Linked DNA regions of Xenopus tropicalis. The protein of the gene in region 2 purifies or fractionates together with the protein of the main gene of each other region. This does not show direct contact. Links are inferred from orthologs where the notes say so. Each region holds a gene or a part of one and is shown on either strand. Other genes may lie near its edges.

Evidence for each region. Proteins that work in one complex are often made in the same cells at the same time.
Region 1: the proteins of rara (region 2) and klf5 purify together in Homo sapiens (affinity purification with western blotting; 4 studies listed by BioGRID). This does not show direct contact. The link is inferred for Xenopus tropicalis from reciprocal best matches to the Homo sapiens genes RARA and KLF5.
Region 3: the proteins of rara (region 2) and kat2b purify together in Homo sapiens (affinity purification with western blotting; 3 studies listed by BioGRID). This does not show direct contact. The link is inferred for Xenopus tropicalis from reciprocal best matches to the Homo sapiens genes RARA and KAT2B.

Annotation. Positions count from the first base shown.
Region 1 is NC_030678.2:127,154,931-127,158,584, reverse strand, and holds part of klf5 (Krueppel-like factor 5), read left to right. Parts: coding exon 1-772; intron 773-3,396; coding exon 3,397-3,456; intron 3,457-3,654. UniProt on the Homo sapiens protein: Transcription factor that binds to GC box promoter elements. Activates the transcription of these genes.
Region 2 is NC_030686.2:8,758,013-8,762,207, forward strand, and holds the start of rara (retinoic acid receptor alpha), read right to left. Parts: upstream 2,853-4,195; 5' UTR 2,357-2,852; coding exon 2,188-2,356; intron 1-2,187. UniProt on the Homo sapiens protein: Receptor for retinoic acid. Retinoic acid receptors bind as heterodimers to their target response elements in response to their ligands, all-trans or 9-cis retinoic acid, and regulate gene expression in various biological processes.
Region 3 is NC_030682.2:45,629,637-45,633,290, forward strand, and holds part of kat2b (histone acetyltransferase KAT2B), read left to right. Parts: intron 1-920; coding exon 921-1,010; intron 1,011-2,476; coding exon 2,477-2,658; intron 2,659-3,654. UniProt on the Homo sapiens protein: Functions as a histone acetyltransferase (HAT) to promote transcriptional activation. Has significant histone acetyltransferase activity with core histones (H3 and H4), and also with nucleosome core particles.

The sequences.
Region 1 (3,654 bases), on a different chromosome or scaffold from region 2:
GCATCAGGTGTTGATCAGTTTTTTAATGAGAGTGATGGACTTCCTTACAGTATAAACATGAATGTCTTCCTTCCTGATATCACTCACTTAAGAACAAGCCTGTATAAGAGCCAGAGGCCACCCGTGACCCATATCAAGACAGAGCCCACTTCAGTATTTAGCCACTCAAGTGATGCTGAACCCACACAGAGTCTTCCTGAATTCACCAGCATCTTCAGTTCCCACCAAAACGCAGATGTTAATAACATCTACATCAAACAAGAGCTCCCTTCACCAGAGCTTCCGCTCTCTGTCAATCCTCAGCAGGGCCAGTTATACCAGCTTTTAAGTTCGCCAGACATTGATATGTCTAACTCCACAAACCAACCCTCAGTTATGGACACTATTAATAGTGCTTCCATGGCCACAGACATGTCTGCCTTTAATACACTTTCTTCTCCAGTACAACAGACTGCAATGAAACAATTCCAGAGCATCCCTCAGTGCTCATATGGCATGCCTAGCCAATTTCTGCACCAGCAAGAAGGAACCTACTTTCCACCTTCTCCTCCTAGCTCTGAACCAGGCAGCCCAGATAGGCAAGCAGAGCTTCTCCAGAGTTTAAACCCTCCACCATCTTATGCAGCCACGATAGCATCCAAGATGGCCATTCACAATCCACCCTTACCTGCACAGGTGCAAATAACAGCCCCTGCTATACAATCTGTACGCTACAACCGTAGAAACAACCCAGATCTGGAGAAAAGGCGCATACATTATTGTGACTACCCTGGTAAGAACCTACATGTAATTGTTCAGGGGTTTATACAAGGTAACGGTCTACTGACTTAATCAAAAGCTTAAAGGAGAGCTAAAGCTTAACAAAGAATGTGTCTAGACATGCAATGCCTTATGTTTTGGGCTTCTGTACTAGCCCAGGGCCACTAGCCATAGCCCTTTAGCAATGAAGGTCTGTGCCTTTGAATATGCGCACATGCTCTGGGCTACTTTCAGCTACCTCAGCTTAGGGACATGTGCACAATAAATAATATATACACTATACACTACAATAATATAAAATCCACCATTCAAGGATTATTGGTAATTAATTCACATTACTCAACAGCAGAGAAACCAAGGTATTCTGAATTTAATCAGCTGTGTAGCATCACCAACTTTGACATATACAACTTTAACTTTCTGGTAGTGTTTTTTACTTGCTTAGCTTGCCAATACCAGCCCCATTGAGTACATGCAGTGCCACAGATACACAAATGATTAAGATGGGGAGCTCCCATGGACAACTTTTTAAGACCTGTCCTACAGCTGCTAAACTTTTGGGCTAATAAAGCAAGTTTGGTAAATAAACATGTCTAGCAGTATTCATTTCTAGGTTTTAGTTCTCCTTTACTTATAGGGTGCATATTTCTTGTTCATTAGATAGTTGGATATGAATGAGACCATGATATATTCTTTACACAATACATTCCTTCTCTGAATATTTGTATTTAAAAATATGAGCAGGTGCTGCAGTACTGTATGTTTTAGCAGAGACTGAGCATTAACAGTACTGGTACCCCTAGTGATTATAATGAAATGGATTTGTCCGACATGGAGAATAGTGAGAATTTTGCATAAAAACTGCAGAGATGGAACCTGTACAATAATAAACCCATCTGACCTGTGTGTATAGTTGTGCATGTTCCACCTGTATATGGACATGCGCATGCAAGAATCTGGGTTATATATGTCACTGTGGCGAAACTGTACTTTGACAGCACTTATTTAAAGTAAAATCTGTCAGGTTTATAGGGCTCCATTTTGTGTAAAGAACGTCATCACCAAGTCAGGTTACCTCTAACCTTGTTGAATTTAGAGCAGTTAGATGATTTAATAGGAATAACAAGATTTTTATAAGCATCCTGCTATTTTAACGTTAATGTTTAACTTGTGTCTTTAAATCTACAATGTGCTTTTGCTTTTCGCATTCTTTATCTAAAACCCCAGTCCTTTACAGTGCAACACTGGGCAAAGAGATTAAAGGAGATACTACTTCAATAAGTAATAGTTCCAGGACAAATATGGTTGTTCTGTATATGAAAAATAAACCGGGGTTATTTGTACGACATGTTTCAAACTGGATTAAGTTATATAGCATATATGAAAAGAAATGACTATATATTAACTAAGAAATAATTTTAACAAATGAGTTTCATATTTTGAAGCATTGTATAACATAGGAGACCTTTCTGTGTGGAGAACTTTCTATATGAAGTTTATGCACACTTGGATAAATGTTATCTCTGGGCCTTCTGTAGGCTCACACTGACTTTTGGTGCATACTTCCTGAGATATATACACATTTTCTAGTGAATTCTACATATTTTAAATGCTTCGCCATTATGTCAGTGGTCAGTCTGAGGTTGAACAGGTCGAAAACAACACAGATCATCCCTGCTCCCTATCCATTGAGGGTCACCAGCATAGTGCTGAATTTAGCATAGTGAAGCAAATTAGGAACTGACTCGGTCAGTAGTGCTTTATTTGCACCCTTATGCAGTCATCATGATTTAGATTCCAACCCTTATACATAAGGGATGTAAAAATGTAAAGGAAATGAAAGGTGTTTTCAGTGAGACTTGAGGATGCCAGCACTAATTGTGCATGAGTTAGGACAGCCTTTTAATGTGAAAGTTAATCATTAGGAACAGAAAGAAAATGATAAAAGTAGCAGAGAGTCCAAGCAATGCACAGAAGCAAATGTGTCACTTTCATGTTAGCAACAGCAAATGCCAAAGTAATAATAAACTGCGCTGTACTTATAATTCTGGAATCTCCCTAGGTATTTTTAGAATGCAAGAATGCAGATGGATATCTAAAGCTCTGAATAACTTTGATAAATAAGTCCGCTCAATAGGAATAAATATACTTGCTCTGGCATTTGAAAAACTACACCTGTTGCAACTTTGAGGAATTCTTTTTTTCTTTACACAGAAAACCCACAAGGAATTCAGATTCTTCATATGTAGTATTTTACTCTTGTTAAGGGCTATGGCACATGGCGAGATTTTAATCATTTTGTTCCCAGAGGTATATAGTAGCTAGCAAAATGGGGACAAGAAACTGAAAAATTGCCCCTACACTTCTTTGGAAATTGCACTGCGCAGTCAGGCTATTTTTGTTTGGAAAGTGATTGCACTATACCTGGCAATTGTTATAGAAGTGAATTGGGGGGGGGGGGCATTGCCTTAAAAATGCGGGGGCTGCTTTTGGCATCATAGCTGCGAGTATCCTGCAAAAGAATACATTAAATGCCTTAATGGTAGACAGAGTGTTAGCGATGTTCTCTGGGCTGTTGCTTCGTGAAATGTTCATTCACAATGATAACCACCATGCTTTTTTACTCTTCTATTGCAGGGTGCACAAAGGTGTATACAAAGTCATCCCATTTAAAAGCCCACCTGAGAACACATACTGGTATGTGCATTTTTTGTTCAATTTAATGGCTGTGTAAATATTATCAATAGAAGTCTCCTCTTTTTGAAGTTGGTATGTTTTTCAATCTAAAACCTCTCATTCATGGCTAATTTTGTCAGTTGCTTTGTTCCCCATGACAGTTAAATTAAATCACCTGGCTCTTTTTCATTACACATAGGCAGGCAGCATTTAAGACAA
Region 2 (4,195 bases):
AAAATTGAACTTCCTGGAGTAAAGAGAAGGAAGCAATGGGAAAAAGTGCTTCCCAAAATACTACCACAAACCCACAAAATCAAGGACAAGTAACCATAATAAACTTTAGTGCTGACGTGAGCGTATTGGCTACACTGTGCCTTTAATTCTCCACTGTATTAATCTAATAGTCATATACACGGCCCGCATTAAAAATACAATTAAGGGGCAGTTCACCTTTATATTAACTTTTGGTGCAATGTAGAGAGTACTATTCTGAGTTAATTTGCAGTTGGTCTTTTATTTTTTTTATTATTTAGGTTTTTAAGTGGCAACTCTCCAGTTTGGTATGTCCAGCAGCTATCCGGTTGCTGGGGTCCAATTTAACCTAGCAACCAGGCAGTGGATTGAAAGAGAGACAGAGATATGATAGAGGAGGGCCTACATAGAAATGTAAGTAATACAAAGTAACAATAACAATAAAACTGGAGCCTCACAGAGCAATAGGTTTTTGGCTGCCGGGGTCAGTGACCCCCATTTGAAAGCTGGAAAGAGGCAGAAGAAGGAGCAAATAATTAAAAAACTATACAAAATAAAAATGAAGACCAACTAAAAAGTTGCAAAGAATAGGCCACTCTGTAACAGAGTTAACTACCCCTGTAATGAAAAGGTTTCACAATCTGGCTGCACTGCTGGTTCTGACTACTGAAACAATGCAGGGATACCCCGGAGGAGGCTGGACTTCTGCTACATGTGAGAGTCCCAGAGGACAGGAAGGCCCAAATGCTGCTTTGATTTCATTTATCAATTACAAAAAACCACTAGAATGTATAATGAATTTATATCGGCAAGTTGCTTAGGATTACATTATCGAAACAGTTTTTGGGTGCAGTTGCCCTTTAATGCTCCATACCATACACTGCAGCCACATTGTTATCCGACTGCTGCCCACCAGCATATCCGGCTATACTTTTTTACACAGAGGGGTAAAGGAAGAGTTAAGTGGAGCCACGTTTTAGGGTGAAGACACACAGAGCTACTTAGTAGCAGCTACTTGTCACAGCGACAGAAACAGACAATGCTGATCATTTACTGATAACTGTCTCTACTTGTGCTTTAGCAGAGGCAATTCTCAGTATTGTCTATGGCAGGGGATTTTCTGGAGTTTAGTAGCCGTGACAAGTAGCTGCTACTAAGTAGCCCAGTGTGTCTTCACCCTAAGTGTTTGTATCAAATAGTATTATGCAGGATATTGTTATTACTACATTGAGTTTTGCCCCTATGCCCCGAGAGTTACAGAGAGACAGGAATGGTGACTTAATTACTATCAAACTGGATTGTGGGCCCAGAGGCCCATTCCTCGCTCACGGAACCGTTACAAAGACAGGGCCCAAATTCATTTACGAAAATAAACCGCTTTGAAACGATACAGCGCGGCTCGGCATGAAAATGCAAAACACATAATTTGTCATTTATTTCCATTACCCTCATTAAGTTGCATTCACCCAATAATAGCCAGAGGCAATGTAACACAGGAACTAGACCTGTACAAGTGAAGCTTGTAAGGGCATGCTGGGAGTTGTAGTTCCATAACAGAAGAACCCCCATAGGTTTGTGGATAAAGCGCTACTCTGAGAATACTGCATAGCCCAGATATGATGCTATTGTTATTATACTGGCGATATTAAAAAAAATATTCATTTCAATCCGAGCGCAATTGAGGCCTAAACGCTTATCTAGCAGTAAGTTCCCTGCGTTACTAACAGCCCCCGTATAGGGAAACGGTCTCCGGCTAGAACGTTCTACTAGCGGTAAATGAGGTTATCTTGTCATGGTCTAGAGACAGTCCCACCCACAACAGTCTAGAAAGAATTTGTTTGCCATTGTCTCCACTGCAGGACAAACAGCAAAACAAAGATCTTCCCATTAGGACAGACGGATAATCCAACTCTACGAGCGGCGCAAAGAGACTATTGTTCGGCGCACGTTATAGATTGGGATTATTTATACAGAGCATTATCCGTACAGATGTTGCCGCGGCGCATCTGGACATAGGCATTAACGTGCCACAATTACAGATGTCTTCTACGAGAATAATGGGCAATAAAATTGTCAAATTGATAATAAAATAAGAACAATAAGCCAGGCGCGAGCGGCACCGCCGCGGTACAAGGGACGGGGATTGTGGAGAGGGTATCACCTACGTACAGTGGTTGGAACTGCTCCAGTGTTGACTTCGAAGTGGCGTCCCGTAGGGATGCATGGTCCCGAGTCCTTTCTCCTGCAATAGGCAAGCCCGGTTCTGGCTATAGAAATCCATCATATGGTAGTGCGTCGGGCTAGTGCCCAAACCAGGAACGTCCACATTCTCGTACATCCTACAATCCCTTCCAAATTCACCATATAACAAAAAGAAAAGAAAAAAAAAAATGGGGGGGTGGAAGAGAATTCAGCAGTCTGGGGTTGAATTGGAATTTTTAGGGTAATAGGGGGGGAAAAACCCCAAAGATCCGGTAGGAAATTGTTATGGACTTAGGAGGAATCCCACAGCAGAGCCATTGGAGATTCTCCAAGTCGGTGGGAAATGCAGGGATGGGCTTCTGCAGGCAGATCCGCTGGGAATATCACATGGGAGACTCTCCGCACGGATTCCATCAAATAACTGGAACTGGGGGGGGAGTCCTGGGTGTAAAACGTGAACCCCACTAGCTGCATATAGGGTGGTCCGTGCAGAGCCTTTCCTTGTGTCCCAGAACCCTACATGCCCTTTCCATCATGCTGCAGCGTAGCCCAATTTTTTGCTTCTCAATCTGTTGTTCTTCCGGCTGAAGTCATGGAATCCCTGGCACAGCACAACGGGGGCAGAACCCCCACTCCGAACCACTTAATTTGGGGGGCACCCAGTTTGGCTGGGGATCAGGGAGAGTGGCAGGGGATTAAAAGGGTTGCCCGGCATGTCGATCCCTTACCTATAAGTCTTAATTAGGCCAAATCTGTTGGGGATCAGCTCCCAATCCCTACAGGGGCAGCTGGAGTCCTTGCAGGCAGATAGTGTGAGATAAGGGGCAATTCTTCTCAGCAGGGGGAAGGGGGTTGCCCTGTAATGGAAGGTCTCTCTATGGACCCCCAGTCAACTTCTCCTGCTGCAGAATCTGCACAACTTCCTGTGTGGGATCTCCTTGTTAGCACAACGGGCTCCTTGTTAGGATCAATGCTAATGGGGACGGTTATCCTTGCACCCCCAGGGGCGACCGGTGCCACAGACTGAAGGATCCCTGGTCAGACGGAGGTATTCCTGCAGGCTTCCCTGGGTATGTGGGTTACTAGGCAGAATGGAGGCTCCATGCAGAATGGGGATGCCCGGTTTCCTGGTAACGCGGCGGAGGGGCTTCCCTGCTCTCCTGTAATGGGCCGAGGCGCATTGGGGGAATACTGTTCCTCTCAGGACTGATCCCCGTGACACACACACACCGCTCAATGCTGCAAACTCTACAGCCGTGTCTCCTCCTGCCTCCTCCCCCTCCTGATGGACTGGAGGCAGCTGAGCCTCGCAAGTCAACACCCCCTATCTTTTAACCCATTGCATGCCACTGGGGGCACAGCTCAATCACAACAAAGCCTGCCCTGCCCATTTCCCACCTTCCTGTGTATTCCTGCCATGATCTAAATACCCCAACCCCCCCCTTCAATACCCCCCTCATTTGCCTAATATCATGCATGTGACCTCTCAGTGACCCTCTCGCCTCACCTCCAAACGACCCAACCGTCTCCTTCTCTCACAGTGACATCACAGACATTTCCCCCCCCCCCCCCCCGCATATTTGGGAATCAACTGACCCCTCCCCCCCCCAGTACTAGTATGGCAGGCTCCTGCTAATAAATACAAATGAGTGTATATACCCCCACACCAGCCCAACACCAGTGGCTTTATAACTTATTCTGATTTTGGCCTGACAAGTTTTTTTTTCCCCCAAAAAAAATAAAAATAAAAATCACTGACTGCTACAACTTGGGTCCCTGCTATGGGCCATGGAATGTAAGCACTGTGGGACGCCCTTCCCAGGGGGCAGCGAGGGTTTTGGGGTAATTATCACCTGAGCAACTGACAATGGTGGCCAACTACAGCAGGTAGGAGCCACCAAGATGCCTGTATGAGGGTTAAGCTGGCCATACACCTATCAATACAATCTTCATACGATTTTCGGACCATGTGTGG
Region 3 (3,654 bases), on a different chromosome or scaffold from region 2:
TACCAAAACCCACAAATATTGCTGAATAAAACATTAGGCTAAAATTATGATAGTTGTAAGGCCTCTTTATTACTTACATTAGACAAGCAGGTATGTTGGACACAGATGTCTAACCCTGTATTATGGGACTACTAAAAGGCAAATTTTCTGTTCAGGACATACACCATATTGTGGTGCACACAAATAATTTTGTACTAATTTTAGCCACCCACTTTTCCTCTTTTGTTTGCGGGTACATACCTCCCTACATTTGAAAAATGCAAAGAGGGACAACATTTTTGACCACGCCCATTTTTGCAACCACACCTCCTAAAATACCACTCCCATTTTACAAAATATAGCAGGTTATTTAAAGTTTGAACACATTTCTGGGGGTTTGGGGGTCTTGTTGTGTTTTGCAAAAAAAAACAAAAAACCTGTTTAGCTTATTAGTTACAATTGTATCTAAGTGCATGTGTAGCTTCTTAACTTTTCTGGGCTTTCTGCCAAAAGCTACTTTTTTAATTAAGTTTGAGAAAGATTGTATCTTTTTTAGCTTGAGGGACTTTTTAGAAAGAATCTGGGACTGCGGGCTAAGCTGTCAAAATTGGGACTGTCTTTTGAAAATCGGGACAGTTGGGAGGCATGGCCCGACTATAAGGAAATTGTGGGTAATGCTGGCTCTCATGTTAGGGTATGTCAGAATAAGTTCAGCTCAGTGCACCATGGGTAGTTTTTTCTAAACCACAACTGTTGTTAAATACTACAGCTCAATACAAAACAGTTGCCAACTTGTTTGGAAGTAAAAACAGGGAATGAAATTATAGCTGAAGAGAGCATTATTTTATAGTCATGTGTGGGTTTAGAGTTACATTTTATTCTATTGCTGAAATGTATCTTACCAACTAAGAATAAAGCATGTACATACTTCTTCTATTCAGCTTTTGAGGAAGTGTATCCTGCAAATGGTGAAACCTGCAGTGGAAGGATCATTGGGTTCCCCTCCATTTGAGAAGCCTAGTATTGAGCAGGTAATGGGGATCTGACATCTTTTCCTACCTACCTTAGTTTTTTAATGTATGTATATTTGTATTTCTTTTTGTACTTATCAAAGTTCCAGGCTGTTAATCAGTGTCTAATTGTTTATTCCTTAGAAAGTGGTGTTTTCTTAACAAGGCAACTTTTGGAAATCTTGGGCTGTAGAGGGATGTATATCACTGATATTATTTTTTAGTTATAAAATGTCCTTTTCATAGCAACTTTGGTCTTTATTATTATTTTTTTGTTATAGATTTTGAATTATTTGCCATTTTGTTCTCTATCTTTCCAGCTTTCAATGGGGGGGGGGGGGGGGGGGTGGGTCACTGACCCCGACAGCCAAAAAACTGTTGTTCTGTGAACTTACAATTTTATTATTTTTGTTACTTTTTATTACGTAATTTTCTATTCAGTCCCTCTCCAAAACATATTTCAGTCTCTCATTCAAATTGTCTGGTTGCTATGGTAAACAGGACCCTAGAAAACAGCTGCTAAATTCCAAATAACTGATAAACCAAAAGGAAACAAAATTAAAAAACAAGTGCAAATTATCTTATAATATCATGTCTACATCATACAAAAGTTAATTTAAAGGTGGACAACCCCTTTAGTGAGCAGTGACTACATTGGGAACACTCTTGTCCTTACATTACATATTCGTGTTTTTGGACCTTTTGCGATATAAACACATAACCAATGGCAAATCTGCAAAATCCTACATTATTCTCTTTTAGTAGATATAATAATGTGTGTTGCTTTAGAAGAAAAAATCCAAAATTTTCTGACAATGCTTTTTATGTCATTATAACCTTATTCTTCTAGAATGATAGTGGGAAGAATTCCTAGTTCTAGGTCACTAAAGTGTTTAAAGGGCAAATATAACTACCATCTCTCATTCATTTATTTTCTTTATAGTCAATTTAACCTAAGTGTGCTGACTGAGAACCCATTCTCTGCATTCTGCACCACACTATGAAGCTACCACATGCCATGCACAATAATTTAACAATGTACAGTAATGACCAGTTTTCAGTATTGGCTTATTAAAGCCTAAAGGTGGCCATACATGGGCCGATTTTAGGTGCTGATATCAGTCCTTTAGACCAATTTGGGGACCGAATTGGCTAGTTGATGCGCTTCCCGAACCAACGTCGCCTATGCCTGCCGTTTTAATTAATTGAATTACCCCGATATCGCCCACCTGTAGATCTTACAGTGTATGGCCACCTTTACTGGGGCATCAGTATCTGGATGGCAGCCTTAATTGTAGCCAAGCAGAACTGAGCTGATCAGCAGCAAGTAACAGAGTCTGTATTACAGAGCAAATTACTTTCTACACTGCTCACGTTTTTTTCAGGCAGGGGTCAAGAAAACAAAATCTGTGTTATCTTCTTTCTAGGTAGTCTGAAAACATGAAGACTATATTCACTGTGCATCTCTGTATTTACTTTCTTTAAAGGGTGTAAATAATTTTGTACAGTACAAGTTCAGCCATTTGCCTTCCAAAGAAAGACAGACTATCATAGAGCTGGCTAAAATGTTCCTGAATCGCATCAACTACTGGCATTTGGAAACTCCCTCCCAGCGAAGACTAAGGTCACCAAATGATGATATTGCTGGATATAAGGAGAACTATACAAGGTACACTCTTCTTAATGCAATAGTAATGGGTATCTATTGCTGTTGTGTTGCATGCAATCTCTATGATTTGTGGATGTGCATCGTTTGTCGGCTTTGTGAAACTGAAAGACTGCAACAGAAAATCTGAAGTGGTTTGAACTGGCTGCCTGAGTAAAAGACCAAATTATTATTTCATGTGACCTAATTGTGGATTGTTGCTTGCGGGGTGTTGCCATATTTATTAAAGTGGCAAGGCCAAGGGCTTACACTCTATACACAATATTTCAAGGCAAGTACTTCCCTCTATCAAGTTCTTATCTATTCTTGCTATTCTGGCTGTCTTATGCCACACTAAATGACTGAGCATAGAGCCCTGGACAGGTGAAGAGGAGTCACACAGCCTACACTTAACAACAGCTAGAACTGAAACAAAGAAATTGCTCTTTGTAATGAACAAATAGCATAGACCTGGTATAGGATTCTAATCTTTTGACTGAAAGTTTACTTGCTGGTAGGGCAATGGCTCATGGGGAGATTAGTTGCCTGCGGTTAATCTCGGCTACCGTGGGTGACTAATTTCCCTGAAATACCTTTCCACAGGCAATAAAGTAAAATTTCCTGCAAGAGGAAACTTTAAGCGACCTCAGAAAACAAAGCGATATGTATGCCTTCTCGCCGGCGATTCACTTTATATTTGGTGGGAAGGCATTTTAGGAAGATTAGTCGCCTGCAGTAGCTGAGATTTAACTGATCTAACTAATCTCCCCATGGTCCATCAGCCTTAGCTTTTTTATGCTTATTTATCAGTGCCTTAATTACAATAAAACTTGTATTAATTTATAGTAATCTCAATGACCATAGGGAGGGGGTGCAATAATGTTAAAGTTTTAAAGGTATAAAGGTATAAACTATTTTATATGTTAGAAAAATTGAACACGCACAATAAAAACAAGCCTTTGCTTTCCTTTTTAGGTGTTAAACACTAAAGGGCCGATTTACTAATCCACAAATGGATCG